Ovis aries: one gene and its partners. The protein of the gene in region 2 interacts with the protein of the main gene of each other region in a pairwise test. Links are inferred from orthologs where the notes say so. Each region holds a gene or a part of one and is shown on either strand. Other genes may lie near its edges.

Region 1 (3,500 bases), on a different chromosome or scaffold from region 2:
GGAGAAGGGGGACATTCGCCTGGAATTTTCCGTTTAGAAAGGGTGTTTGACTGGCTTGAGCAGAAAGTTTGGGGGTTGGGGAATTATTGGCTAATACATCTCAGAAGCTCCGGGTCCCACTGGAGCCAGGGTTGGCCTTCTGCCCTCTGTCCCCAGTGACCCCCTTCCACAAAGGATGTGTCACATGGTGGCCCTGGGGGCTCAAAACCTACCTCTCTCAGTAGTTGGGGTGGGGGATGCTAGGAGGTGGATCCGCTGACCGGTCCCTTCTGCCCAGGTGTCCCATGACTTTGCCATCAATTTCAACCCCGAAGACGATGAGTGCGAAGGTAGGAGCGTGAATGGCCCGTGGTGGGGGTGCGCTGGGGCCGTGCTCACACCCCGCCCCCCACAGGGATCCAGGGTGTGGTGGAGGCCTACCAGAACTGCCTGCCCAGGGTCCAGCTCTACGGCCCCACCAACGTGGCGCCCATCATCTCCAAGGTGGCCCGCACAGCCGCGGCCGAGGAGCGCACCCGTGAGGCCTCTGTAGGTGCCCAGTACCAGGGGGGGTGTGTGAGGAAGGGCTGGCCTCTGGGGAAGAGGGAAGGGTCAGGTCGGGCGGGGCCGGTGGGCGGGGCCGGGAGGCCGAGGGAGGGAAGAGGGGCGGGAAACAGGAATGCCGGGTGTCTGGACCAAGTGAGGCCGGGCGTGGACTCGCCTCGAGGGCCCCAGAGCCAGTGAGTTGAGCGCTGCTCTCTGCCGAGGAGATTCTCGCCCTGGAGGCTGATCTGCTGTCTGTGGTTCTATTATACATGTATTGTTATTTTGTTTGCATGGTCTTTTTTTTTTTGGCTGCACTGTGTTAGCTTGTGGGAATTTAGTTCCCCTACCAGGGATTGAACCCAGGCCCGGGGAAGTGAAAGTGCCCAGTCCTGATTCACTGGACTGCCGGGGAAATCCTTCTTCTTAATTTGCACAAGTGGTGAGACGCTAAAGGCTGCCTCCTGCATTAGGGTTCTGTAGACCTGCCTGAGGCACGCCGATGACTCAGTTGGCTTCTTTTAATCTTTTATTCTGAAAACAAAAAAAAAGAATAGTCAACTTTATGGAAGAATAACCCAACGCCTTTGGCCCATCCTTTCCCTGGACTCACTGGTCAGCAACTTCTGCCCTGTTACCTCCTCCTACTTCTCTTCCTCCCCTGCCCCCATCTACACACTGGTCCTTTCTTCCCTTTGAATCTCTTGAGAGCAGGCTGCTGGCCTCCTGAACCCCACTTCCCCCACCAAGTTCTTGGTGTTGATCTGCTCACAAGATCCTGTACAGTACAGCTCTGCAGTCTCACATCGAAGGCGACCCCCTCCTCTTGTCTCACCCCAGCCTCCATCTGTCCCCATGTGTCCATGTTCCTCACCGTCCCAGGACCTGTCCTTCCCATGTTCTGGTCTCCTGATCTATTTTTTCCCCTTTGTTTTTCTGTGCCCCATGGCATGTGGGATCTTAGTTCCCTGACCAGGGACTGAACCTGCGCACCCTGCAGTGGAAGTCCACTGCACCCCCAGGGAAGTCCCTGTGGTGGGACGAGGCTGTTGCTCTCAGCCTTGCTCCATCCTTGGGACTTGCCATCGCCCAGTCCCTGAGTGGGGGTGGCTCTCCCAGGCACACAGCCCCCAAAGGCAGAGTCACAGTGTCGCCTCCCACCCCTTCTTTCCTCAGATCCAGGCGTTCTCTTCTACAGTCACTGCACAGGTATCAGTTTCAGGTGGTTTAATTTAGATCCAATACTTTATATAATATGCTCCAAGTTCATTAATTGCCAAAAAAACAATAATTTTATCACAATATTATTTCTGGTGTAGAATCCAGCCTGGAGTTAAGGATTACATTCAGCTTTCATGTTCTTGTATTGTTTTAAAGCAAGTTTTAGACACATAATTTCATCTGTAAATATCAGTATAAACCTCTGAAAGAGGTACAGTAGGCTCCCATTATCACACCTAAAGACAACGTCAGTTCCCGAGCATTAAGTGTCCAGCCATCCCGTCCACACCATGGTGGATTTTCCAGGAGGCACAGGGTTAAGATAAGGGGCTGGGCCTGACAGTGTGTGTGGCCATCCTGCTGGGGACCCCTGCCTTCTCCTGTGGGGTCCTCTTGCCACCCCCTTGTTAAAGAGATCAGCATGTGCCTACAGTAGGGCCCCCGGCTGGAGTCTGCTGACCATGCCCTTGTGGTAGCCTTCGTGTCCGTCTGATTCCTCTGGGAGGGGTTAAACTCTGGGGGCCTCAGGTCTGCCTCTGTCCTTGCTGGGGCTCAGACCCTTCGTCTTAGCTGCGCGAGGTGGATGTGGGTGGAGGCTGGGCGGCATCTGGGACCCCCTTCCCTGAGCCTCTTCTTGAATTTTGCCCTCACCTGCCTTCCTGTCCTGCGGAGAAGCCCTGTCCCTTCTGGCTGACGCCTACCGGGGCCCCGACTGCAGTGGTCCCTGGGTTCAGGTGACGCTTCCGTCGCAGGCGGTGATGGTGTGGTGTTTGCACTGCTGGCAGACCCAGGGCTGTGAGGTCTCAGTGGGGTGCTGCCCCTACTCTGGGGGTGGGAGGAGGCTGTGTGGGGCTCAGGGCTGGGCCAGGCACTGTGGGAATCCACCAGCCCTGGACAGGAGACTGCCCATCCCCCTGGTCTGGGGGCTCAGAGGGGGTCCCTGGGAGAGGGTGCCCACTCGGCCAGAGCTGGGCAGGCTAGGGGATAGTCTGGCCGGCCTTCCAGTGCTGGCGCTCCAGGGTGATTTTTGCAGCTCTTCTGTGTTTTCTCTCACCCAGATTTTTAGTAATGATTGCTGAGTGGTTTTGTTTTTTTTCACTGTGGAAATGGACCTTTATTTGAAACAAGCCCCAGTCTGTCATGCGCAGACACACTAGGCACCTGGCCAAGCTGGGCCAGAGTGTGTTGTTTGAAATCTCAGCGTCTCTTCAGGGTGTGGGAGCCCCTCCCCGCCCAGGGCTGATGATCCCTTCTCTGGCCTCAGACCTGGGTCAACCCCGGCTCCCCTAGCCTCACTGTCCCCACCTGTAAGGTGTGGCTGTATCCACCTCCGGTTAGAGGGAGCACATGGTCACAGCTCACTGTGATTCCATGTGTGTGTGTGCACCTGTGTACATGTGGTACGCTTCTGCGAATACGTTTTTAGAAAAGCTTGGCACCGTGGTCACCCCCAGGCGGTCTGGTTGGTGGACTTGGGGTTCGACTGGGGGAGGTACAGCGGCCCTGCAGGGTCCCCACAGCCCCTCCTCCCCTGTGCCCCCAGCAATACTACATTCTGCTGATTCTGACGGACGGTGTGGTGACCGACATGGCAGACACACGTGAGGCCATCGTGCGCGCCTCCCACCTGCCCATGTCCATCATCATTGTCGGGGTGGGCAACGCCGACTTCACCGACATGCAGGTGCTAGACGGCGACGACGGTGTCCTGCGCTCCCCACGCGGCGAGCCCGCCCTCCGCGACATCGTGCAATTTG
Region 2 (4,103 bases):
AAAAAAAAAGTCAGAAAGCAGGCCTGGGCACCTGGGACTCATCTGTTTGTTCTGTTTCATTCCAAATATTTCTATTAACTCTACAAATACAAAAACCAAAACAGAAATACAAAAGATGAAAAAACAGAGATGACACAAAGTGGCCTAAATGGTCCTTGTCTTGAGAAAACTTAGGGGTTTATTGAAATAATAATAAATCATAATAAAATTATAATTTTATAATATAAATTATATAACTTATAAATTATAATAAAATATAGATATTGAACTTCAAATAAGGATATAATACTTATACTTAAAAGCATTTTATGTTTTCACTTCCCTCATCTCTTGAGACAACATTTGCTTCTGTTGAGTCCAGTACTTACCTCCCAAGTCTGTCTCCAACTAGACCCAACTCCTTAAGGCCAGAGGCTGTTCTAACTGTGCCCTCCACACCAAGTGCAGAAAGTGCTCAATAAGTATTAGGTGGGAACACCTGATACCCTGCTACTGAATATCCTGGTTTTAAAATATTGACAAGTCACTGGAAAAAAATAAATAAATAAAACCTTTCAAATGCTTGAGAGTAGACCCAACAGTACATGACTGTAGTTCATGAAAAAATGGCAAATAAAACTTTTAAAATAGTGGTGACAAGAAAAATAATGACTTTATCTACTCTGTCATTTTACGTGTATTATTTATTTCTTTACCATAAAAAACAGATAATGCCTGTGGTTAAACATTCAAAAACATATAAGCATACAGAGTAAAAAAGTGAAAGCTTATATTTTTATTTTCCTCTCCCAACCCCTCCCCAGCTGCTGCCCCCAGTTCCGAGTTTGGGATGTATTCTTCCTGATCTAAGTAACTAGGCAGACATATCTCCAAGCCTATTCGTGTATGTCAGGTTAACCCCATTTTACAGATGAGGAAACTGCAGCACAGAAAGGTTGAAGCATTCATCCAAGATCACAGAGGGAGATTCAAATCCAGATCCTCTGATTCCTAAATCAGCGCATTCCTTGCGCTACGCCCCGTAGGTAACATTTATGGATGAAGAAACCGAGGCTTAGAGGGTCCCTGAGCAGTCAGAACCACATGGTTCACAGTCCAATTTAGGAGAAGCAGGGATAACTGGGCTTGCACGGGAGGCTGCGTGATGGAGAGGGCCCTGACCAACGTGGAATCGAGGTCAGGCTTGACCATCTCCCAGCCCAGCAACGCCCCAATGTGGGGCGCGGGGCTCGCCCACGCCGCTCGGGTACCGGCGCCACCAACCCCTTGGCGCCCCTCGCGGCCGCTCCGCCCGGGCTGGCGCAGCGCTCGCACCGCCCACTCAGAGCCGGTCGGGAGACCGCGGTCCCGGAGACCCGAGCCCCAGCCGGGTCGAGGGACAGCCCTGGCGCGATGGCTCCCTCGGAACCCGGCTGGGACCTCCTCGGCCTCGCCCCCTGGAGCGGTCGGCAGGTGCCGGGCGGGAGCGGCCAAGGCCCGCAGCCCAGGGTGGGTGGCCCTGGCGGGCTGGGGATTCGGGGGCCGCCGGGGGGCTGCCGCCGGGCGCGTGGCGGGCGGGCTGGCGGGGCGGGGCGGGGCGGGGCGGGGGCGGAGCCGCGGCCGGAGGCGGCCGTAGCCCGGCCCAGGGGCCGCAGTGGCTGCCGCGGAGCGAGGCTGCCTGGAGGGAGCGCCCGGGCGCAGAGGGGTTAGCTGGCCGCCGGGGCCGCGCAGAGCAGGTACAGATCTTCCCTGGGACCCCTGGCCCCGGTCGCCCTCTCTCCCCCGTCTGGTTAGACCATCCGCCCCACGCCGCCGCGCCGTCCGGGTTCTCCGAGCCCCGCGGTCGCGCCCCAGCCACGACCCCGGCCCCAGTTCTTATAGCCTCGGAAGATCTTCCAGTCCCTGGGGTCCAATTCCTGGGGAGGGGGCTCTGATCTCTTGGAACGCTGGCCCCATCACTCGGACGAAGAATCAGCCAAAATTCCTACACAGAATAAAACTGGAAAACACACCCAGGAGCTCCCGGCACGCGCCGGGCACCTCCTGCCCTTCCCCTCTGGAACGGTATTTCTGGATGATGCGTTCCTCCCCCATCCCCCCAACCCTGTCATCCGCTTCCGTCCTGGGTTGGGGGGCACAGACGCTGGGAGGGTTACAAGTGGGTGCCCCGAATCCAGCTCAGCCTGACGACTAGAAAGGCAGGACACCTGTTGGGTGGGCCTCCAGGACCCAGGAGTGGCACAAGGAGGACCAAGGAGTTCTCGCCCAAGACAAGGACTCTGCAGCCAGCCCTGGAGCCCTGGACCCACCCCCTGCCCCTCAGTGCCACTGTTCCCCAGAGGTAGGTCTCTTGGGGTTAGTGAAGCGGTTAGTTCTGCCCAGGTCACTCCTCCTTGATCTCCACTGGCCAGTGTGGAGTTGTGGCAGGGAGGAGCCCAGGTTTGTCTAGACCAGTGTCAGCCGGGCCCAAGAATGGCCAGTTCTGTCTGACCTCTCCTTTCTTCACTCTGGACAGTGAGGCTCACCAGATGAGAAACGGAAAACATGAAAAGACTGAAAACCACAAATGTGTATCTGTTTCTGCAGCGTTTGTGTGTGCCTGTGTGTGCATGTGTCGGCCCCCTGCCCAGCTATGCGGGGGGTGGGGTAGGACTTTTCCAGAGAGGGAGCCAGGCCTGGCCCTGGCCCCAGGAGCTCACGTCACCCCACCCCCCACCCCTCACTTCTCCAGGGAGCTGCCAAAGCCAAACCCAGCTCAGGACAGGATTATGTGTACTGGGTAGACCCATAGAGAGAGACAGCTAGACACAGGCCTGGGGTAGCAGAGAGAAGCAGAGGCAGAGGAAGTGGAGAGGGGACCCAGCAGCAAGAAGTGGCAGTGACCAGCCTCCCATCTCCTTCTCTTCAACCACCAGGAAGGGAGTCAGGCTGAAAGCTGAAGGTTTGGGTGGAATGTTGGCCCTTCTCTGGAGCCCCTACCCGCCTCCTCATCAGGGCGGAGTTGCTGACCTCAGTGGTCAGCCCAGCCAAGGGAAGGAGCAGCCATCAGCAACCCCCTTCACAACCCCAAGTAGCTGAGGAGACCGTTCGGGCACAGGCCCCGCCACTGTGATCCTTCTCAACATCCCAAGCGCTGGGGTCTCAGGGAGGTGAGGGGGAATGGATTTGCTACCTCCAAGCACATTCCTGCCCTTCCCTCTGTCATTTTCCTGCCCCTGAGCTGGCCCACCTCAGCATTAGCTCCTTGGATTCCTCTCCCGGGTGCCTTTCAGATCCAACAGAAACATTTTTTTTTTTTTCCTGGAAAGCAGAGCTCAGAGCAGCATGAAGAGTGGGGGTGGGAAGGGTTCATTGTGAAGGGACTGGAGGGCCAGGGGGAGCCATGGGAGAGCCAGGCTTAGACCAGGGGAGGGTTCCAAGCTCCACTTCTCCAGTGATCAAGCTGAGACTGCAGGATGGACTTCCTGGCTCTTCAGAAGATAGACCCATGAGTGACTGGGGACCAATAGCCTCTCTAGCTGTATCTCCCCTCCCCAGCTTCCCCCAGCCATCAGAGTCTTGCCTGAAGGAAGGCCTCATTGATCCAATGCCAGAGGCTGGCCCCTAGAGGGAAGTTAAATATCACTGGGGAAAATCACCTGCTTCTCTAGAGATAAACCATCAGCCCATTTAGTTTATCCCTTGGCTGCAAAGTTTGAGATAGGCACAGTTGTGTCAAGTGTTCCAGAAGGAGCTTATTAGGTAAGAAGGCAAGAAAAGGCTGAGAAGCAGGTGGGAATGGAAAGCCCAGGGGGCTTCCAGTCAGCAGCTCAGAGAGGATGTCTGAAAAGTCCTCACTGAACCTCCCTCCTCAACCCTCTTAAGAAAGATGCATGTGTCTGAGCTGGCCTAGAGACAGTCGCTGTTTAGGACACAGGAGCTGAGAAGTTCCTGAAGCTGAAGGAGGGGACTGCGCCTGAGCTGGGAGGCTGAGGGCAGACCTCCACCCCTTCAGCTTGGGTAGATGGACAAAGGCAGTGCTCCTTTTCCCTCTCACCTTTAGGATCATTAAGGGATGGACCAATCTTCACCCCTCCATTCTCACTCTGAGTTGTCCTTCTGAGAAGTCATCCCTCCCAATCCCC
Region 3 (4,079 bases), on a different chromosome or scaffold from region 2:
TTCTTCGAAAGTTGTCCCTGGGTGCATGCCTATTATCTGTGCTTTTCCCCTTCCACTAATGAGCATTTATCTAAAGAGCCTGTTAATCCTCTGATGTGTGCTTCTGGTCAGAGGTAACAGTTTGAATAAAACCACTAATCACTGATCACTAAATCACTGATCATTAATCACACTCTCCAGTGCTGGTGACCCGGGCCATTTTCCCCTTTAGGTCTATGTATGCATCACAAACAAGAAGTTTTAACATTTCAGATGCACATGTATTGTGTGTGGGGTCATACTATTTCATCTCTAGATGTGAATAAATAATAAATACTGCCACAAACTTGGGGAATGATGTCAATTAGACTCCAGACATGAGTTTCACAAATGCCTACTCTACAGCATGGCTTTCACTCTGAAGAAAGTAGATCTGATTATAACAAAACATGTGTTCTTCAAGAAATTCCCACATACTCAGAATATAAATTTTCCTGTATTTAGCTTTCACCAGCTTCAAACCAGAGAGCACTCAGCTCTTCTGCACCCCCTCTATTCAAAAGCCTGTTAAGAAATCTTTTATTTAATTTCTGCTACACTGCAGCCCCACCCCCACCCCACCCGGAGTTCTTTTTACTTTTATCCCTTAAACATGTCATATACAGTATTTTTATTCAACTGCCAGAAACGGGGATTCTGACTCAATTCAATGACGTACGTATTTAACTTTCTATTTAAATACAGAAAGTTAATGTTAAGAGAAAAAAAGTAACCCATGCACCACTCTATTGTACGATATTTTGAGTTCAACGACTTACATTCCCTCACTTTGGAAATGAAACGTTTAATCTCGAGCCTTCCAGCCAAATTTGATTTAGTCAGCACCCTCAGCCATCCCTCTTCGGAAAACCGGTCTGTCTGAGGAAGGCGCTGTGTAAAATTAAGTACTTTGCTTAACAGTGAGTGTGTTGTTTTCCTAAGTCACCACAGGGACACGGTACTATCATAGTGTCTCTAAACATTTCCTGAGACGCCTTTTCTATCAGAGTTGAGCAGTTTGCCCTGGAGAAGAGGGTTCACTGGTGCCTTTCTTAAATAATAGAAAAGGGCAGATTGTGTGTGCGTCGATCAGGTACTGCGCTCCCTCAGCCACCAGAAGCTCTCACCCACACTCCAGGGACTGTGATCGCCCCAGGGAAAGCAGTCAAAGGCGGAGGCGGGGCCAGAGTGATAACGGTGTGGGCGGTAGAGCGGGTGGAGAAGGAGGGATCCGGGAGGAGAGGGCAATAACGATGCCCAGGGAATCAGAGATTGTACGAGTATGTTGGGGGTTGGGGATGGAAAGCCTTGCCTTGTCAGCACTTCTAAGGCCCCCAACCCTTGAGTATCTGAAGCTGTTAATCAAACACTTATTGGTCTGCAGAATGACGTAATGGACCTGTATCCAGCCTTTATTCCTTGACACATGTCAGAGAAGGAGGGAAAAATAAAAATCAAACACTCTGTAGACTCTGACAACGAAATATACAAGTAGCCCACTTCAGTTCCAGGCCTTGAACAAGTCTCAAGTGGGGGCGGCACTTGTTCAGGGAAAGTTAGGGTGGACAAGATCTTTATCTACCAGATACTCAACCCCCACCCCAGAAATAAATCTGTGGCAAAGGAAAAGCGGGATGCAGCCGCCGGGAGAAAACATCTCCTTGGTTCCTTCGTGAGTCTTGCCCCTCTAAGAACGTCGTGAAAAGTTTTGAGTTATTCCGTGGAGAATCTGGTGGAGAGGAAGGCTCCGCCGCCGTGCTCTGAGAACTGCAGCCGCGTCGAAGGCGGGAGCTGTCATTTGGGGCAGCGGCGGGGAAGAGGTAACGATGCCAACGAGAACCGGACAGAGGCAAGAGGCGGCTGCAGGAGTGAAGACGAGGAGAGCCTCGCCACTGTCGAGCCTTCCACGCCTGCAGTGAAAGGCAAGTGCCCTCCGAGGGTGATGGCCCCCTCATTCCCTGGCGCGCGCGCCCACCACCTGCGGTGGGCAGCCCTGCAAAAGGTGGCAGCAGCAGGCTTGGGGCCCGGGAGGGAGCTAGCCCCCAGTGCGCCCGCCCGTCCGCCCCCTAGGTGACCCGGCGTCCTCGCCGCGCCCGCTGGAAGTTTGCAAACTTTCTCCGGGGGTTCCGCCGCATCACAGGGAAGTTGGGGACGCGGGGGGGAGGTTCCTGTCTCGCCGTCTCCGCTGCTGCCGCCTCTGCCGCCGCTTGACCGCACTTCTGGAGGGTTCCGCACCTTGCCAGGTCTCTGGAGGCAAACACACACCCCCGATTCATAACTGTTCCCCGTGTCAGGGAAACACACGCGCGCTCCTACACACGCACGCACGCTGGGGCGGACACGGCGCTCGCTCCACGTTAGCATCCCTCCAGTCGCACGGCGCGGCGGCCACCAAGACGCGCTCCGGGACGGACACGGCGTGGGGTCTCTGGGGTAGCCTCAGGACACGGCTGATTCCACAATCCACCAGTATTTGGGGCCTGACTTCCCTCTGGTCCGTCAAAGTGTTTACAAACACAGATCATCCTCCAAAAAGAAAATGCATCGCATCTTCCCTACTCCTTGCCCTGCGACCTGCCCACTGGACCAAGTAACCTCGCGGCTGCTGCCGAGAACCAACCCCTGCAAACAACTACACTCCCGAGACGGCTCCCGCGGCAAGTGCAACAAAAGTGACTAAATGCAAAAGCCCCAGAAGTGGCCTAGCCGTATTTTTAGGAACTTACCAAACAAGTGTGGAGAAGGCAAGAGCAGAGCCCGGGTGAAGGGACCACGTTGGACTGAGCAAAGATTACAATACATTCTATTTAGAGTGCATTACATCACCCCCCCGGTGACGTCACGTGGGATTCCTGAACTTCTAAATCATTGCGGTCCGTGGGGGAGGGAGGAAGGGAGGGGCGGGGCCGTCGCGCCGAGGGGGCGGGCTCCGCCCCAGCCCCGCCCCGCTCCCGCGCCACGAGCGGACCCTGGTGCACCCGCGGGGAAGCGGCGGCGGCAGCGGCGACCGCGCAAGCAACAGCTTGCAGAGCCCAGCGCCGTGTGACACGGCTCCCTGACTTTAGTGGTGTGAGTCAGCTTGGAAACAATCCTCAAGGTTTCAGAAAGGACCACGGAGGAGGCAGGGACACGGGCCCTCCCGTGAGTAGGGCCTGGTAGCATTTAAAAAGGTGTGGGGATGGGGCGAGGTGGAGAGGGGTGCCGAAGAGCGCAGGGAAGAGACTGTCTCCGAACAGAAATGCGGGACGCTCCCCCTTCCCCCACCAGCAGATGTCCAGCTCCGTTTTGCTGCGACAGTCATGACCTCATTACAGTGTTCCCTGCATCCTGGCTTTTCAGAGCACTCACTGGACACCCCTTTTCACCTCCCGCCCCCGCCCCTCTCCAGCTCACTTCCAAGGAAATAACTTCTTTATTGTGCAAACTCATGTGGAATACACTGCCCCCACCCTTTCCAAGACCCCTGCTTCTCGAGTCTAAGAGCTGGAAAAAGAGTTACTCCTGGAAGGGAAAGGTGTATCACGGCTAGAGCCAAGTGATGAGCCTGATTTAGACTCAGCGTCAGAGCCGGAAGGGCCGTTGGCGATCATTCCAGAGCCTCGTCTGTAACTTGCCCAAGCTCCCCGGCTGACAAGTGGCAGAGCAGGAGCCAAAGGGAGGGAAAGAGCCCCTGGTCTGCAGTACCTTCCCCACAGCTCCGGGAGAGAAGGAGCCTGGAGCTTTCAGGATCAGCCAAGACACCCTCCCCATCACTATCCTCGGCTTGACTTCCATTCAGATGTTCTTTCAGTGAGCCAGACTCATAGAGAAGGCATAGAGTAATTTCCAGTGGATCCTAGCCACCCCAGACCACCACTGTCATCCCTGCCGCAGCTCACAGTGTACAAAGCCTTCACACCCACGTGGAACTCCCTTGATTCTCACAACCAGCACAAGGAGGGCAAGCGTTATCATTATCCCCATTTTACAGGTGAGCCAAGGCAAAATCCACAAGGTTAGGGAGCTGGCCTGAAGCTGCTTGAGTAAGTGGTGGCACTGGCACCACCCCAAATCCTGTTTTC
Region 4 (3,500 bases), on a different chromosome or scaffold from region 2:
AGCTGTTCCCACTGCTCTCACCACGACGGGTCCAGTCTGCCCTCTGCCTCCCTCAACACTTTCCCTCTGTGAGCTACTCAACACGGCTGGGACCACCCATTAAATCAGGATGAAGTGAAAAGTGAAAGTGTTATTCCTTCAGTCCTGTCTGACTCTTTTTGACTCCGTGGACTGTAGCCCACCAGGCGCCTCTGTCCATAGGATTCTTTAGGCAAGAATACTGGAGTAGGTTGCCATTCCCTTCTCCAGGGGATCTTCCTGACCCAGGGATGAAACCTGGGTCCCTGCATTGCAAGCAGATTCTTTACCGTTTGAGTCCCAGAGAAGATCTAAATCAGGATGCTTCTCTTCAAATCCAGGCCCTCCTTTCTCCCCATCCTCATCAAGCCTGGTTGATAAGTATCCCCCATACTAAGAGTCCATATTTCATCTGTTTTCCCATCTAGTCCCAAGCCAGCCAGCTGGCAGGGAGTCCTACACTCCCCGCGACTGGCACACCCTTCTCATGGAGGCAGAACACAGGGGGCAGGGGGTGTCAGTCGTAGGTGGCAGAATGTATCCCAATTGCCCTGCCACTACCTGCAAACTTCACAGCAGTGATGGAGGATGAATGCTCGTCCAGTGTCTGCTGTAGGCTGTACTCCCGTCCAGCATCCAACACGTGGATCAGCCGGTCCCGGCTTGCTGATGCTAGGAGCTTCAGACCTGTGGGTTGGAAAAACTTCATCAGCCCATGTGTGCCTAGAGCAGGCCCCTATCTGGGCCCAGCTAACAAGAACTGAGCCCCATATCCCTAAGCCAAGGCAACCATGGAGAAGAGGCAGAGCTGCCCTCCTCTAAATCTGCAAAGACACCAAATGATTCAAAGGATTTTCAGTCCCACATCCAACAACCAGGATTGATGTAAGCGGCACTAGCGGGACTAGAGGAGCCCTAAGCCTCTGGCATGGGTACCAGACATCCTCTTCACCTGTGTCCGGCTTAGAGTACTCCAGGCACAGGATTTCCGAGTCATGGGCCTCCACCTTCAGCATCTCATTCAGGGACTGCAGTTCGTGCACCCTGAAGAGATAAGGAGAGGCGGGAGGAGGTCACTGCCGGGCTGCAGGAAGACAGACTCACTCTGCTTTCTCTGTTACATCCTCTCTCCTGACCTTTTTTAAAATTTATTTTTGAACTTTCAGGTTAGAGAAAAGTTGAAATAAGTACAGAGAGCTTCCATATTCCCCTTACTCAGCTTTCCCTAATGTAATCGTCTTACGTAACAACAGTCCACTTACCAGAACAAGGAAGCTTACATCAGTACAATACCAGGGCCTAAAGGCTCTACTTGAATTCCACCAGTTTTCCCACAATGTCCTCTTTTCTGGATCTAGGATCCTATCCAGAGTCCAACTGCACTGAGTTATTATTTCTCCTGCGTGTCCTGTCTGTAACAATTCTTCCGTCTTTGCTTCCCTTTCGTAATCCTGACACTTGGGAAGAGTACTGATTAGTGCAGGTGCTCGGTCACATGTACCTCAATTTGAGTTAGTCTGATGTTTTCTCATGATGGGACCGAGTTTCTGCAATTTTGGCAAGAATACCACAGAAAAACTGCGATGTCCTTTTGTAGAGCATTGTATTATGGGGTTTATGATGTTGATATGAGAATGTAAGCCTGATTACTTGATTAGAATGGTTTCTGCTGGTTTTTTTTACTATAATTATCTTTCCCTTGTATATGAATATCTTTTTCCCAATCTTTTTGAGCCAAGATTTTCAAAAGCTCTGTCCTTGGGGACCTAACTCCCCCCAACCCACACCACCAGAGGCAGGTGGTACCCATGCCAGAGCTGGCTTTACCTGAGTGTGCCCACACGGTCCCCTGAAGCGAGATGCTGTCCATTGGGGCTGATACACACAGAACGAATGCCCACGCGGGGATCCATCAGGGACCCATCAGCTTTGTCTCCCCCGGGCAGCTCAGTGTCCAGCAGGGCCTGAGTGTTCCCATCCACATAGATGATCTTAATGAGGTCCTGGAGGAGCAGGTCAGGAGAAGTGGGTAAGACAGGTCTGATCAGTACAGGGGAGAGGAGAGGAATGCTGGACAAGACAAAGCCATGACTTGCAGGGGAAGGCCACATAAGAACTCGGAGATCAAGTCTGGGGACCCAGTTCCTGAGAAGGCAAGGGAACACAGGTGCTCAGCATGGAGGGGCCCAGGCTCACATTGCTGAGGATGTTCCGGTGCAGCGTGGAGCCATGCACCCCGGAGCTCTCTGTGTTCCACAGGCGGATAGTGTTGTCGGAGGAACAGGTGATAAAGGAACTGGGGGGTAGGCAGGCCTGGTTACTGTCCTTCACTTCGGGGTAGACCTGAAGGGGCAGAGGGTAGAAAGTCAGAGCTCCAGGTAGGCAGCAGTTGCCTGCCAGCCCACGGAGACAGAAGGGAACGAGACTAAGGAGCTGTTGTTGGCCAAGGCTTAGCCCAGAGTCTGTCACATGATAAGCAAACTGCAACTATTAGATATTCTTCAGATCGCTGAGGGAAAGCACATTCACCAAAGACAAGGTACTCTGCTATGCTTACTATGAAATACTCCACTCACAGTTTTTCACTTAATTCTTAAAACAATTAGATGAATTAGGTACATCATTTTACCACTGAGAAAACAAAACTCAGGTAAGTTCAGTAACTTGTTCAAGATCATCCAGCCCAGGACAAGGCAGAGCTAAGGATGGACAGGGGCCCATTGGAAGAAGCCTGAGACATTTAAGTACTAAAATTCAGGATCGGTCCCCAGGACCCATCTGGGGGTACGTGGATACACAGGGCTGCTGCTGAAGAAAGGAGGAGGGAGCAGGAACACAGTGTTCTACTTGGGGATCCTCACTCTCCATCCCCACAATGTGTCCGAGCCAGGCCACCTACCTCCACACTCCAGACGCAGGAGGAATGATACAGAGCCGAATACACCTTGCCCACTTTCTTGGGGTCCCTCACATCCCAAACATAAATGCTGTGGTCATTGTACACACAGGACAGCCACTGATTAGTAGGATCGAAGGTCAAGGCGATGGTGTCTGGATATCTGGCATTGGCCGCTCCAGAGAAGAGGCGACTGTGGGGAAGAAGACAGTGCAAAGCGGTGAGTGAGGAGCTATGGAAATGAGGGAATGAAAACAGAAGCCAAGCCACAGAGGAAGGAGCAGAGCACGGGAGCCCTCTTCAGACCCACAGGTTTGGAAGCAGCTGCTTGAGAGGAAAGCGCTGCTCTGACAGCTCTCAGCTGGGAGCCGCCCCTGCTGCCAGACCAGCATGCTCTCCTGACAAGCACGGACCAGGGCTCAGAACACCAACAGCAGACGAGGTGACTGCGGCCACGATGGAGTGAAACAAAAACAAGCCCCTCTGCAGTGGTTCCAAGACAGATAAAAACAAGATTACTGTCCCAGCCACAGAGAAGACCGATCATCACCGTTTCCCATCTTTCAGGACTGACTGCTATTCCTTT
Region 5 (3,932 bases), on a different chromosome or scaffold from region 2:
CAGTCCATAGGGTCATACAGAGTCAGACACAGCTGAAGCAACTTAGCATGCATGCACACTAATGAACTTAAGAAGCTTGCTGTTTTTGTGTCAGGAAACTCAAATTTTGCTTTTTTTCTGGCTCTTCATATCTGTGCCCATGTAACTAACTCTAAAGAGGAATCTCTCTAAGGAAGATGATTAAGAAATGATCTTGTGAATCTTGACTGAAAGGATGTGGGAAAGCAGACTAAAAATAGTTAATGCTTTTTCTAAGGGAACCTTCAGTAAGAATGACTTGCATTGTCTTCCTTGGGCAATGGTTTCTTTTTCATCATTACTCTGAAAATTCAGCTACCCACTCCATCATCAAGCATTTCTGTGGAGAAGGAAGGTTAAACTGGAAAAGTAAATTGTCAGCTAATTCTTAGACTATGGCTTCCTCCATTTCAAAACTGGTAAACCATACATATTACATAGACTAACATGATGGTTTGTGTTTAAAAAAAAAAAAAGCCAACTGTTGCATAGTGCATGGATAATAATAGAGAACATGAGTGAGATAGGTGAAAAGCACGAGATCTGAATTTTTATTTTAACTTTGAGGATTTCTGGAAACCAGGATGCAGCTCTATTTTAATGATCTATATAGCCCAAAAGCATAACCCAAAGTGGAGAATTCTCCATTATTGTGCCTTTTCTTTTTTTATTATGAGATATATACAGAAAAGGTTAATGTAACATATGCACCATTGAATAGTTATAAAGTGAACATCCATATAAATACTATTCAGATGCATTAGAGATTCTTAATCATGAGTCTACTGATACTTGCAGAGAATTTGCCCATATCTCCTTTTTTCTTTTTTTTTTAACACTGCATAAGTTTCCACGCTGCTAAGTTAATACGGTTGTTTAAGAAATCTAGTTTTTTACATCCTTTAGCTCACTGAGGTGTAGTGAACCTGTCTTCTCTCTGGGCTTTGGGTCTCTCTATATCTCGTCTTTTTTTTTTTTTTTTTTTTAAGTTATCCTCGCCCATCCCTTCCAGTAAAGGCTCTTTTGGACCCAGCCACGCCTCCCCACCTTGGCTCTACCCACGCCCAGGTCCCGCCCCTTTCGGGCCCTAGAGTTTGGTCTCCATGGTTACGCCGAGAGTTCTGGGCTGCCGTGAAAGCCCCAGGGAAGAATTGGGTAGACCCGGCTCAGGCTCTTCACTACAGCCAAGGTCAGCCCAGCCTGGGCTCCACGCCCTTGATCCGGAGTGTACCTCGCGAGGAGGCGAGCATGGGTCAGCGGACGGAGCCTGGGCCGCGGGAGCATGTCGTCTAAACTGGTTCAGGCGAAACTGACAGTAAGGACTCTTCAGGCCCCGCCGCTGAGCGTAAAGAGCTGTCGCTTCCGGTCGGAGGCTCACAGGTCCCCAGGTCAGATCGCTAACGCGTGCTGCTCACCGCTGTTCGGCACTGCTCGCTGCCCCGCCGGCCAGAACTCGGGAGGTTTAGGCTGAAGCGGTGGGTGTGGGGAGGGTCGGGGGGCGGGGACTGAGGAGAACCCGGAGAGACCTGTACCGGGTGCCCGACGGCGCACGCGCACACGCGCGGCTTATATTCATTGAGCAGGCGTTTGTTAGTTACCAGCTGCTGGTTTGATGCTCTTACTTTCTGCCAACGCTATGTTAACCACTAAGTATATAGACTGGGAAAGGAGTACGTCAAGGCTGTATATTGTCACCCTGCTTATTTAACGTATATGCGGAGTACATCTTGCGAAATGCCCGTCTGGATAAAGCACAAGCTGGAATCAGGATTGCTGGGAGAAATATCAATAACCACAGATACACAAATGACACCACCCTAATGGCGGAAAGTGAAGAGGAACTAAAGAGCCTCTTGATGAAAGTGAGAGAGGAGAGTGAAAAAGTTAGTTTAAAACTCAACATTCAGAAAACTAAGATCTTGGCATCTGGTCCCCTCACTTCATGGCAGATAGATGGGGAAACAATGGAAACAGTGACAGGCTTTATATTCTTGGGCTCCAAAATCACTGCAGATGGTGACTGTAGCCATGAAATTAAAAGATGCTTGCTCCTTGGGAGAAAAGCAATGACCAATCTAGACAGCATATTGAAAAGCAGAGACATTACTTTGCCAGCAAAGGTCTGTCTAGTCAAAGCTATGGTTTTTCCAGTAGTCATGTATGGATGTGAGAGTTGGACTATAAAGAAAGCTAAGCGCCGATGAATTGATGCTTTTGAAATGTGGTGTTGGCGAAGGTTCTTGAGAGTTCCTTGGACTGAAAGGAAATCAAACCAGTCAATCCTAAGGGAAATCAACCCTGAATATCCATTGGAAGGACTGATGTTGAAGCTGAAACTCCAATACTTTGGCCACCTGATGAAAAGACCCTGATGCTGGGAAAGATTAAACGCGGGAGGAAAAGGGGAGGACAGAGGATGAGATGGTTGGATGGCATCACCGACTCAATGGGCATGAGTTTGAGTAAACTCCAGGAGTTAGTGATGGACAGGGAGGCCTGGCGTGCTGCAGTCCATGGGGCCGCAAAGAATCGGACACAACTGAGTGACTGAACTGAACTGAATTGATATAGAACTCAGTCCTCAGGACAGCTCCAGAGACAGAGTAGTAGTCGGGTTTATACTTTTCAGATGAGAAAATCACTTCAAAGAGAAGTTAGAGAAATGGCCAAGGTTTCAGCTAGAAAACGGGGCACGATGGAAACCAGGCTCTCTGGTTCTCCTGGACTAGATGCCAGGTGTTGTTAACCTTACCTGAACCCTAATATGCTGAAAGTGATCTTTACCTACCTGGGATTGCCTTTGTTATTCTCTGCATGCTAATTTCCCCTGTGCTTAGATCGGAAAACCTGATCACTATTAAAACCTACCACCTTTTCACCAGGAGTTCTTTTTTTTCCCCCATGATCCATGACTCGTTATATGTTTTGCTTTTTTTTTTGCTTTTATGCTTTTAATCAAGAGTATAAACCTTCACTTGGATGTGCAAGAAATAGAATTTTGATGATTCGAGCAAGAATTGTGTTCCAAGAGTCTCTGATAATTATGAAAGGTCATTTAGTGAATGTGATGAAATAAGCATGTTCTGTTTCAAGCTGACTTTGCCACCTACATAGTGGAATTTCTCACTAATTCTACTCCTACACCCATCCTCCATCTCTAATACTGTTTAACATTTTTTTAAATTAAAAAATATCATGTTATAGGGGTACTTTTGATGACCACCATCATTTAAATAAAGAGGAAATGTTTCAGTCATTAAGTCCCAATTACTCTCACTGTTATCATTAGTCCTTCATTTTTATAAATATGAAACCAACTAATGAAAAACAAGAGGGGCCTTATATACTAGTAAATATTATTAAGTTAATAAATAATATGACTCTTTACAAATATATTAGTGGTGAAATCTCAAAAGGAAAAACTAATATATAAATACAATTTAAAAAATCTTTTTATTTAGAATGCCTCCCACTCAGGCTGAAAGTGTTATAAAGAATATCATTAGAGAAATAGGACAAGAATGTGCAGCCCATGGAGAGATTGTTCCTGAAACTCTGGTTGCTTTTATGGTAAGAATAAATATTTTTGTGAATTACTGCTTTATTAAAAATTTTTTTTCAGCAGTGCCTATCTTGCTCTTAGAATTCTGTGATGTTCTCTTAACTTGTTGCATTGAAAACCTATGGCGATTGGTAGACAAATTGTGTCTGTGTGTGCTCAGTCGTGTCCAGCTCTTTGCAACTGCATGGACTGTAGCCTGCGAAGCTCCTCTGTCCATGGGATTTTTCCAGGCAAAAATACTGTTTGTTTGTTTTTTAAGTCTATAAAGCATGTTAGTTCTAGATTTAAGAGACTGATCTAGAAGATCTCAAAGAATCTTAGAAACATCAATAATGTTTTTCCTGTGTTGTAA
Region 6 (4,036 bases), on a different chromosome or scaffold from region 2:
GCTCAGTAGGTCAGCGTTGGGGCTGAGATTGGGGTTGATCTCTGAGGCTGCAGGTGTCCGGGGTTGGGGTCTCAGAGGCTGATGTTCTTAGGTCAGTTGGTTTGGACACAGAATGGGGGTTGGGAGCAGAGCCGGGACAGAACCAAGGTCAGGGATTGGGTTATCACCTCTTTCCGCTGGGGCACGCGGCGCCACCAGACATGGTCACAGGAGGAGCAGGCGAACTGCCGGTCCACGGCAGGGATGAGGTCTTCCTGGGCACGCTGGAACATGCGTAGATTGTCTTCTGTCAGTGGCAGGAGGGATGTCGCCACCGCCTGCAGAATGGGGTGGGCGGGGCCAAGAGGGCGGTCAGTCCTCTTCTCTTCCAAACCCCTATCCTGTCCCTCCTTCTCACGTATGGATACCCCCAGGGGTGTGCACACCGCTCCACCTCCCCATCCCACACCCTGGACTCACCTGGATGTCCTGGTCCTGCTTCATGTCCTCTGGGGGGTCCTGGGTGGAAACATCAGGGGTAGAAACTGGGGAGGTGGCTCATGCCTCTTTTCTGGGGGCAGGGCTTCTGGATGGGGAGGCAGGGTTCTGGCCCCATATGAGTAAGGTGTCCCCAACTCAAGAGGAGTTAATTGAGCAGTTTCCACTTCCTGAGGGCAAGGGTGTGTGACCTCAGTTGTCCTCATAGCAACCCTGAGAGGTGGGCACACCTGTGATCCTCATTGCTCAGATGGGGAAACTGAGGCCCAGAGCTCTGAGAGGGCTTGCCTGAGATTACCCTGAGTGAGTGTGGGCAACAGGCCTGGGCCCCATGCTCCCTTCATGCTGGCAAATGCCACACACTTGCTGGCATTGTGACAGGTCACCTGTTTGAGGCTATGCTGCTTTAGGCTAAGTGCTTGAGCTCTGGATTCAGAGAGCCACAGGTTGGAATCCTGGCCTCATCACTTCCAGCTGTGGGGTCGTGGCCAAGCCACTCTCCCTAATGAAGGACATCTAGGAGTCCAGGTTCTGACTCTAGGTGACCTGGGTTCAAATCCCAGTCACCACCTGCATTCAGCATGAGCCTGGTGAGTGACTTCATCACCCTGTGTCTCAGTTTCCTCATCTGTCAAGTGGATATGATAAATAATAGGACTTGTCTCACAGGACCTGTGGCAATAAGTCAACAGAATTCCTGGAGTCCTGTTGCAGGGAAAGTGCTCAATCAATGATACTCTTTGCTAGTTTTATTATACTCATTATATGTATAACTGTAAATATATAAATGTTACAAGTATAAAACATACTTTATTATACTCTTTAACAGCTCTGTGCTGGGCCCTTTCAGACAGGCAAACCAGTGCACCAGCTACCAAGGCCATCTAAGGGGCAAAGTGGCCATACAAAGGCTCTCATTCATTCATTGCTTTAGTCATTCATTTACATGGGCTTCCCTGCCCCTCTTTCCTCCCCTATCTCTTACTCGTCCCAACCTGTCTGCAAGTTCCTCTGCTCAGGTCACCCTCTCTTCCAGGAAGATCTCCAACCCCTCCCCTTCCCAGGGATCACTCCTCCCTAGGCTTGAAGAATGTGGTACCACCTCCTCCAGGAAGCCTTCCCTGACCTCTTTGGCTCCTCTGTAATGATGATAATCCGGATTCTTTTCACTGCCTAGTTTCTTGTCTCTCTCCATTTCATACAATCAGCATGTAATGAGCACCTATGGTTTGCAGGCTCCTTGGTCAGATCCATAACTGAGAGGTAAGTGAATGAGGCTAGACCATGAGTTGTGGATGGACAGTGCACAGAAAGAGCTCTGCCAGGGATGAGCCTGACCCTTCCCTTCTTCCTTCCCTTACCACGTGTTTTGAGGGGAGGGGGCAGTTTACCTGGGTGTCCAGATCATTACTCAGTTCCTGTCCATCCTTCTGCTTTACCCCTGGTGGGGAGAGTAAGTGTAAGTGAAGGCCCCTTGAAAGGTTTTGTGGGAATTTCAGGGCCCCCAGAACCCCGATCCAGACCGCCCCCCAAAGAGATGATCTCATCGCCTCTTCCAGCCCCCAGCACAGACCACACCCCCTCCCTGCTCCCCAGCTTAACTCTCACCAGGCAGGACCCCCACCTGCTCACCATACACGATGGAGCGCCCCACTCCAGTGTGGTCGCTGCCAAATTTCCTCATCAGAGTCCCTGCCTTCTTGGAGGATACCTTTCCATGAAACTTCTCCCGGAGGCGCCGGACGCTTTTCTCCAGCTGGGGTAGGGGACCGGTGGGGGAAGGAAAAGCGCAATTGCCCTTCCTCCATCCCTAGGCTTCCTTTTTTCACGGCCCGAACTTGACCCCGGGTTTTGGCCTTCGCACCCCCCCCCCCCATCCCTCTACTGCATTTCCTGGAAAAAGCCAAAGTCCCCACAGAGTACTGGGGGAGGGAGCGGACTAGGGCGAGCGTCCCAGGCTAAGGGATGAGGCCGGCCAGATGACCCCTGGCCTCTGACCCTTGACCCAGCAGCCCCCGCTTTCCCTCGAGGAGGCCGCATTTTGCTCCGGGGCATGTGGCGGTCACTCTCCTTTCCGAGGGAGACGAGTGCCAGCCTTGGGGGGAAGGTCTGGGCTTGGATGGAGTCCCCAGCAACTGCGAAGCCCGCTCCGTGCCCCTAGCTCCTCCTCAGCATCTCTCGCGGGCCACCGGCCCAGTTGTAGCCATCTCCTACCTCCACACCTTCTTGAGACATGGTGGCGGCGTAGGTCCCCGCGAGGGTCCGCACTGCGCGCTCGGCGGCCCCCTACCTGGGCGCGCCCGTCGGTCCGGCCGCGCAGGGCAGGGGGCGGGGCCTCCAGGCCGGCTCCGCCCTTCCTTTCCTGCGCTCCGTTTCGCTTTCGTTTGGGAACGGGGGGGTGGACGGGGAGGGCTGGCTCCGCCCTGGCTCCGCCTCTGCTCTTGCGCCCCAAACCCAGGCGGGCGCCCCGGATCTGCACCCTGCGGCGGAGCGCGCAGAACTCGGGCGGGGGAAGCGGCGCGGCCTCTGCAGTCGGTCACATGTCCCCACGCTGCGCGGGGTCCGCGTCTTCACGTCCCTCGTGGGGGCGGGGCCGCATCTGAAGGCCGCGGCGAGTCTCCGTGCCCCCGCCTGTTCGCGCTCCCCTGTTCATCGCTCGGTCCCCTCCCTCCACCCGGAATCAGGCGCTAATGAGGATCTAGACCCCTGTCTCGCTCTGAGTGTCTTATCCGGCTATGTCTTCTCTCTGAACCTCAGTTTACTTCGCTGTAAAGTGGGGATGATGATAGTGGCTACATCCTGGGGACGGGTGTGTGTGCTCGCGCGCGCTCATGCCTGTGCGCGCGCGCGCGCAGGTGCAGGATTCGAGATCCCCAGGTCGAGTATTTAGTAGCGCCTGCCATGCTGTAGACATTCAACTAGTCACTGGGCCACCTACTATGTGCAAGATATTAAGAAGCAGGCAGTTGTGGTGGGGAGAAGATGCTCGTTAAAAATACGGATTCCTGGTTCCTCACAGTCTTGCAGAATCGGTCTGTCTAGGGGTTCCAGGGAATTTGCGCTGAAAAACGGAAGATTGAGAACCCCGAGGGATCAGGACGATTTTAACCCAGCATGGGGGGTGGGGGGTGGGCGAGGGGGCTGGAAGAGCCCTGCCTGGCGGCATCAGAAATGGTTTCTTTAAAAAAAGAAAAAAATGGCTTCTTGGAGGAGTCCGGAAGACCGAGGTCTCAGCAGTCAGAAGATCGGAGTGCGGGATGGAACAGCTTTGGGTGCAAAGACCCCAGAAAAAAGTGACTAGCGCTTTAAGCCAGGGCTTCTCAACCTCAACGCTATTGGCATTTAGGGCTGGGTGATTCTGGAGGCCTGCCCTGTGCATTGTAGGATATTTAGCAGCATCCCTGGCTTCAATCCGCTAGATGCCTGTGGCACTCTTGCCCCAGTCGTGGTAACTGAAAATGTCTCCAGACGTTGCCAAATGTTCCCTGGGGGTGGCAAAATTGTGTTAGGATAAATGACACCCCTCAAATTGTTTAACCTCCATCAGTAAAGATGTGGA
Region 7 (3,500 bases), on a different chromosome or scaffold from region 2:
TGGGCGAGCCCGACCACAACGAGGCGCTCTCGGTGGATGCGCGGCAGGAGCTGGACCTCCGCATCGGCTGCGCCTTCACGAGGTGCCCCTGCCCCACCAGGCCCAACCAGAGACGGGAGACTGTCCGCCTTCTCGGCCCCTGAGACAGCTGTCTCGCCGAAGCGCGAGGGTGCCTGACCAAAGCGTCCTCATCTCCCTGACCCCCTTCACAGGTTCCAGACTAAATACTTCCAAGGGAAATACGGCAACCTGGACAGCTCGCTCATCTCCTTTGGGCCGTGCCAGACCCCCACGCTGGGGTTCTGTGTGGAAAGGCATGACAAGATCCAGTCCTTCAAACCGGAGACCTACTGGGTGCTGCAGGCCAAGGTCCGCGGCCTTTTCCCGTTCGCACTGGGGCTTGCTGGGCTTGGGTGTAGCGTCTGAGCACCTCCACTGTCGTCGTCCCCAGGCCCAGGGCACGGGTGTGGGCCGCCGTCCCACCGTGGGTGCGGGAGAGGGCCGTCCAGCGCAGGCCAAGGTCCGCGGCCGGGGCGATCGGGTCCAGGGACTGCACTGAGGGCCGTGGGCCACTGGCCTTCCAGCTCCTAAAAAGCCTTGGAACATGTTTTCCAAGTGAGATGAAGGTTCTCCTAAGGCTCCGAGTATGACTCGGGGCCGCTGCACTCCACACAGGGCTGGGGTCCCCTGTGGGGGCGCTGCAACGCCCCTGCGGACAGCTCAGCCTTGGCGCTGGGCTCCTGTCCTGAGACTGCCTCCCTCATCTCAGCAGAAGGCCTCTGCCAGAGCAGCCTGTGCTAGGGGAGGGGCTGGGCTGCGCCCCTGAACAGCCTCGGCCGTGAGCCCTTCCAGCCAGGCCAGGCTCCAGCTGCCTGGCCTCTCCTCGCGGGCGGTGGCTCACCCCGCCTCTGCTCCTGGGCCCTCCCGCAGGTGGACGTCGACAAGGACCGCTCCCTCCTCCTGGACTGGGACCGCGTCCGCGTGTTCGACCGGGAGGTCGCACAGATGTTCCTGAACATGACCAGGCTCGAGGAGGAGGCCCAGGTGCGCTGCTCGGGGCTGCGGGGGCCTCTGCTGACCAGGGTGCAGGGCTCCCTCTGTCTCTCTGGAACACAGACACCTTTTAGAGAGAAGACTAGTTGCTCCCACACACGCCCCCACCACGGTCCTGCCCCGCCCCCCAGGCTGGGACCGCCACACAGCTGCCTGCCCTGACTGGTGAACATGCCCTGCGGGTACCCCCTTGCTCGGGGGCTCCCGCCCCACTGTCCGCCCTCGGTGGCACGTCCAGCTGGAGGCCCCTGTGCCCGTCGAGAGCCTGCCCAGGGCCCACAGCCGGCTCGGCCACTCCGGGCCGATGGCTCTCCTGGCTCCCCTGCCACGCTCCCCACTCGGGTCTCAGGAATTGGAGGCGTGGCTGCGTGGCTGGTAGGCAGAGGTTGGTGCCACGTGCCAGGGGGCGGGCCACATGGGACTGGCAGGTCCACGGCCACGGCAGCTTGTGCCCTGCAGTCGTGCCTTCATGGGTCCCTCTTGCCCAGTGCAGCTGATTCAGGCACTGGAGCTGCTTCTAAAGCTGCCCCACGCTTCTGCCTGTGACGGCCACCGCATCTGGGCCTCCCCGTCGTGATCCCAGGCTCCACTGCTGCGTCTGTCCAGAGCTCGGGGTGTGGCCCTGGCCGGGTGCACGTGGGGTCGGCAGGGGTGAGCATGGCAGTTGAGAAGCCTGGGCTGCTTCTGCCGTAGGCAGGATGCTCACCTCTTCAACAGCCGTTCAGCCCAGAGGCTGAGCTGGTTGCTCACCTCGCTTTTCCGCGAGTGGGAGCTTTTCACTGAAGTTCCTCCTGGTGACCCACAGTTAGAAGTTAGGAGATTTTACAGAAAAAGTTCCAACTTCCCGCTTTTCCTGATGAATCAGAAGGTGTAGCTACACTTGCGGGCACCATGAGAAGCAAGCAGCTGCCCCTGCGATGGGCCCTCACCCCAGGACCCCCGCCTTCTCTGCAGATGGAGATGCTGGCTCCCAGCGGGCTCCCAACGTGCAGCCCCTTCTCCTGACTCCTCCCTTCCTCCAGGTTTTCTCTCCCGAAAAAAAGTCTCTAGAATTCCCTTTCGTTTTCCTTTCTTGGGCCTGAACAAACGTTCATTCGCGTCGTGAGGCCGCTGTAACGGGAGCTAGAGCAGCCCGGAGGACGAGTGAGAGTCAGACCCTCCGGGCTCCTCTCGTGCCTGCCCGCCCTGTCCGCCCTGCCCTGACCCCTCCCACCCCCAGGTGGAGGCCACAAGCAGGAAGGAGAAGGCCAAGCAGCGGCCCCTGGCCCTGAACACTGTGGAGATGCTGCGTGTGGCCAGCTCTGCCTTGGGTAAGTGCGGGCGCTGTTCCTCTCTCAGGGCCCCATGACTTGGAAGCACAGGCTGCCTGGCTGTAGGAAGGCATGGTTGCCGCCAGGCAAGGGGCCGGCCCTGTCTCGAGAGCCACGCCGGTCATCTGCGCCTGCCCTGCTGGGGGAGTTTGGCCTTGGGCCAGCGGACAAGGGCACTGGCCTCCCAGGAGCCTGAGCATCTCGCCTGGGGCACCCGGTGTCGGCGCTGAGCCCGCATCTCTGGCAGGAATGGGCCCGCAGCACGCCATGCAGACTGCCGAGCGGCTGTACACGCAGGGCTACATCAGCTACCCGCGCACCGAGACCACCCACTACCCCGAGAGCTTCGACCTGAAGGGGCCCCTGCGGCAGCAGGCCAACCACCCCTACTGGGCTGACACGGTGAGCTGCGCCAGGCCAGGGCAGCAGCCGCACTCCCTGCGAGGGCCGGGGGCCAAGCCTGGCTCACGCCCCGCTCCGTCCCGGCTGCCCCCGCAGGTGAAGCGGCTCTTAGCAGAAGGTCTCAACCGCCCACGGAAAGGTCACGATGCTGGTGACCATCCCCCCATCACCCCCATGAAGTCTGCCACGGAGGCTGAGTTAGGTATGGGGGCTCCCCCAGACTGGCACACCCCCTGGCACACACACAGAAGCACGCACGCACGCGTGCATCAAGCTTCACAAGAGAGCAGGGTGAGGCACGCTGGTAACCCGATCTCTGGAGGGTCAGGCCCCACGGCAGCGTGGGGCTGTCTGAAAGCTGTGCTCCATTGCTGGGCCGGGACAGGAGTGAGGTGGTGACGGGGGCAGGTGCTGCCTCGGGAGGCCCTGGGGCGGAAGGCCAGGCGGGGCCGGGTGACAGGCTCAGCGGTGGGGAGTCCCGGGGGCTGGGCGCAGGGGCCCCAGTGCCGTAGCAGGAGCGTGGGGCTGCCTGGAGCTGGAGCCTGGCGCTGAGTGGCCGCGCCCGTGGCAGGGGGCGAGGCCTGGCGCCTCTATGAGTACATCACCCGGCACTTCATTGCCACCGTGAGCCACGACTGCAAGTACCTGCAGAGCAGTGTCTCCTTCCGGATTGGGCCTGAGCGCTTCACCTGCACGGGCAAGACCGTCATCTCCCCAGGTAGGGGCGGCGGGCGG

Evidence for each region.
Region 1: the proteins of ADAMTSL4 (region 2) and CPNE7 interact in binary tests that used the Homo sapiens proteins (3 or more experiments, as listed by UniProt). The two-hybrid records come from large-scale screens. The link is inferred for Ovis aries from reciprocal best matches to the Homo sapiens genes ADAMTSL4 and CPNE7.
Region 3: the proteins of ADAMTSL4 (region 2) and CREB5 interact in binary tests that used the Homo sapiens proteins (3 or more experiments, as listed by UniProt). The two-hybrid records come from large-scale screens. The link is inferred for Ovis aries from reciprocal best matches to the Homo sapiens genes ADAMTSL4 and CREB5.
Region 4: the proteins of ADAMTSL4 (region 2) and MAPKBP1 interact in binary tests that used the Homo sapiens proteins (3 or more experiments, as listed by UniProt). The two-hybrid records come from large-scale screens. The link is inferred for Ovis aries from reciprocal best matches to the Homo sapiens genes ADAMTSL4 and MAPKBP1.
Region 5: the proteins of ADAMTSL4 (region 2) and CFAP206 interact in binary tests that used the Homo sapiens proteins (3 or more experiments, as listed by UniProt). The two-hybrid records come from large-scale screens. The link is inferred for Ovis aries from reciprocal best matches to the Homo sapiens genes ADAMTSL4 and CFAP206.
Region 6: the proteins of ADAMTSL4 (region 2) and SHFL interact in binary tests that used the Homo sapiens proteins (3 or more experiments, as listed by UniProt). The two-hybrid records come from large-scale screens. The link is inferred for Ovis aries from reciprocal best matches to the Homo sapiens genes ADAMTSL4 and SHFL.
Region 7: the proteins of ADAMTSL4 (region 2) and TOP3B interact in binary tests that used the Homo sapiens proteins (3 or more experiments, as listed by UniProt). The two-hybrid records come from large-scale screens. The link is inferred for Ovis aries from reciprocal best matches to the Homo sapiens genes ADAMTSL4 and TOP3B.

What each region holds. Positions count from the first base shown.
Region 1 is NC_056067.1:14,056,702-14,060,201, forward strand, and holds part of CPNE7 (copine-7), read left to right. Parts: intron 1-277; coding exon 278-329; intron 330-394; coding exon 395-528; intron 529-3,286; coding exon 3,287-3,500. UniProt on the Homo sapiens protein: Calcium-dependent phospholipid-binding protein that may play a role in calcium-mediated intracellular processes.
Region 2 is NC_056054.1:100,567,559-100,571,661, forward strand, and holds the start of ADAMTSL4 (ADAMTS-like protein 4), read left to right. Parts: upstream 1-1,303; 5' UTR 1,304-1,488; intron 1,489-1,632; exon of another isoform or gene 1,633-1,715; intron 1,716-2,205; exon of another isoform or gene 2,206-2,320; intron 2,321-2,894; exon of another isoform or gene 2,895-3,128; intron 3,129-4,021; 5' UTR 4,022-4,103. UniProt on the Homo sapiens protein: Positive regulation of apoptosis. May facilitate FBN1 microfibril biogenesis.
Region 3 is NC_056057.1:69,306,015-69,310,093, forward strand, and holds the start of CREB5 (cyclic AMP-responsive element-binding protein 5), read right to left. Parts: upstream 2,801-4,079; 5' UTR 2,745-2,800; intron 1-2,744. UniProt on the Homo sapiens protein: Binds to the cAMP response element and activates transcription.
Region 4 is NC_056060.1:35,423,443-35,426,942, reverse strand, and holds part of MAPKBP1 (mitogen-activated protein kinase-binding protein 1), read right to left. Parts: intron 3,108-3,500; coding exon 2,918-3,107; intron 2,362-2,917; coding exon 2,215-2,361; intron 2,022-2,214; coding exon 1,846-2,021; intron 1,063-1,845; coding exon 971-1,062; intron 706-970; coding exon 580-705; intron 1-579. UniProt on the Homo sapiens protein: Negative regulator of NOD2 function. It down-regulates NOD2-induced processes such as activation of NF-kappa-B signaling, IL8 secretion and antibacterial response. Involved in JNK signaling pathway.
Region 5 is NC_056061.1:49,878,284-49,882,215, reverse strand, and holds the start of CFAP206 (cilia- and flagella-associated protein 206), read left to right. Parts: upstream 1-1,132; 5' UTR 1,133-1,493; intron 1,494-3,477; exon of another isoform or gene 3,478-3,479; 5' UTR 3,480-3,480; coding exon 3,481-3,588; intron 3,589-3,932. UniProt on the Homo sapiens protein: Essential for sperm motility and is involved in the regulation of the beating frequency of motile cilia on the epithelial cells of the respiratory tract. Required for the establishment of radial spokes in sperm flagella.
Region 6 is NC_056058.1:12,503,770-12,507,805, reverse strand, and holds the start of SHFL (shiftless antiviral inhibitor of ribosomal frameshifting protein), read right to left. Parts: upstream 2,801-4,036; 5' UTR 2,713-2,800; coding exon 2,692-2,712; intron 2,234-2,691; coding exon 2,110-2,233; intron 1,919-2,109; coding exon 1,869-1,918; intron 499-1,868; coding exon 460-498; intron 318-459; coding exon 168-317; intron 1-167.
Region 7 is NC_056070.1:71,999,476-72,002,975, forward strand, and holds part of TOP3B (DNA topoisomerase 3-beta-1), read left to right. Parts: coding exon 1-82; intron 83-212; coding exon 213-369; intron 370-930; coding exon 931-1,044; intron 1,045-2,272; coding exon 2,273-2,363; intron 2,364-2,610; coding exon 2,611-2,765; intron 2,766-2,861; coding exon 2,862-2,967; intron 2,968-3,336; coding exon 3,337-3,483; intron 3,484-3,500. UniProt on the Homo sapiens protein: Releases the supercoiling and torsional tension of DNA introduced during the DNA replication and transcription by transiently cleaving and rejoining one strand of the DNA duplex.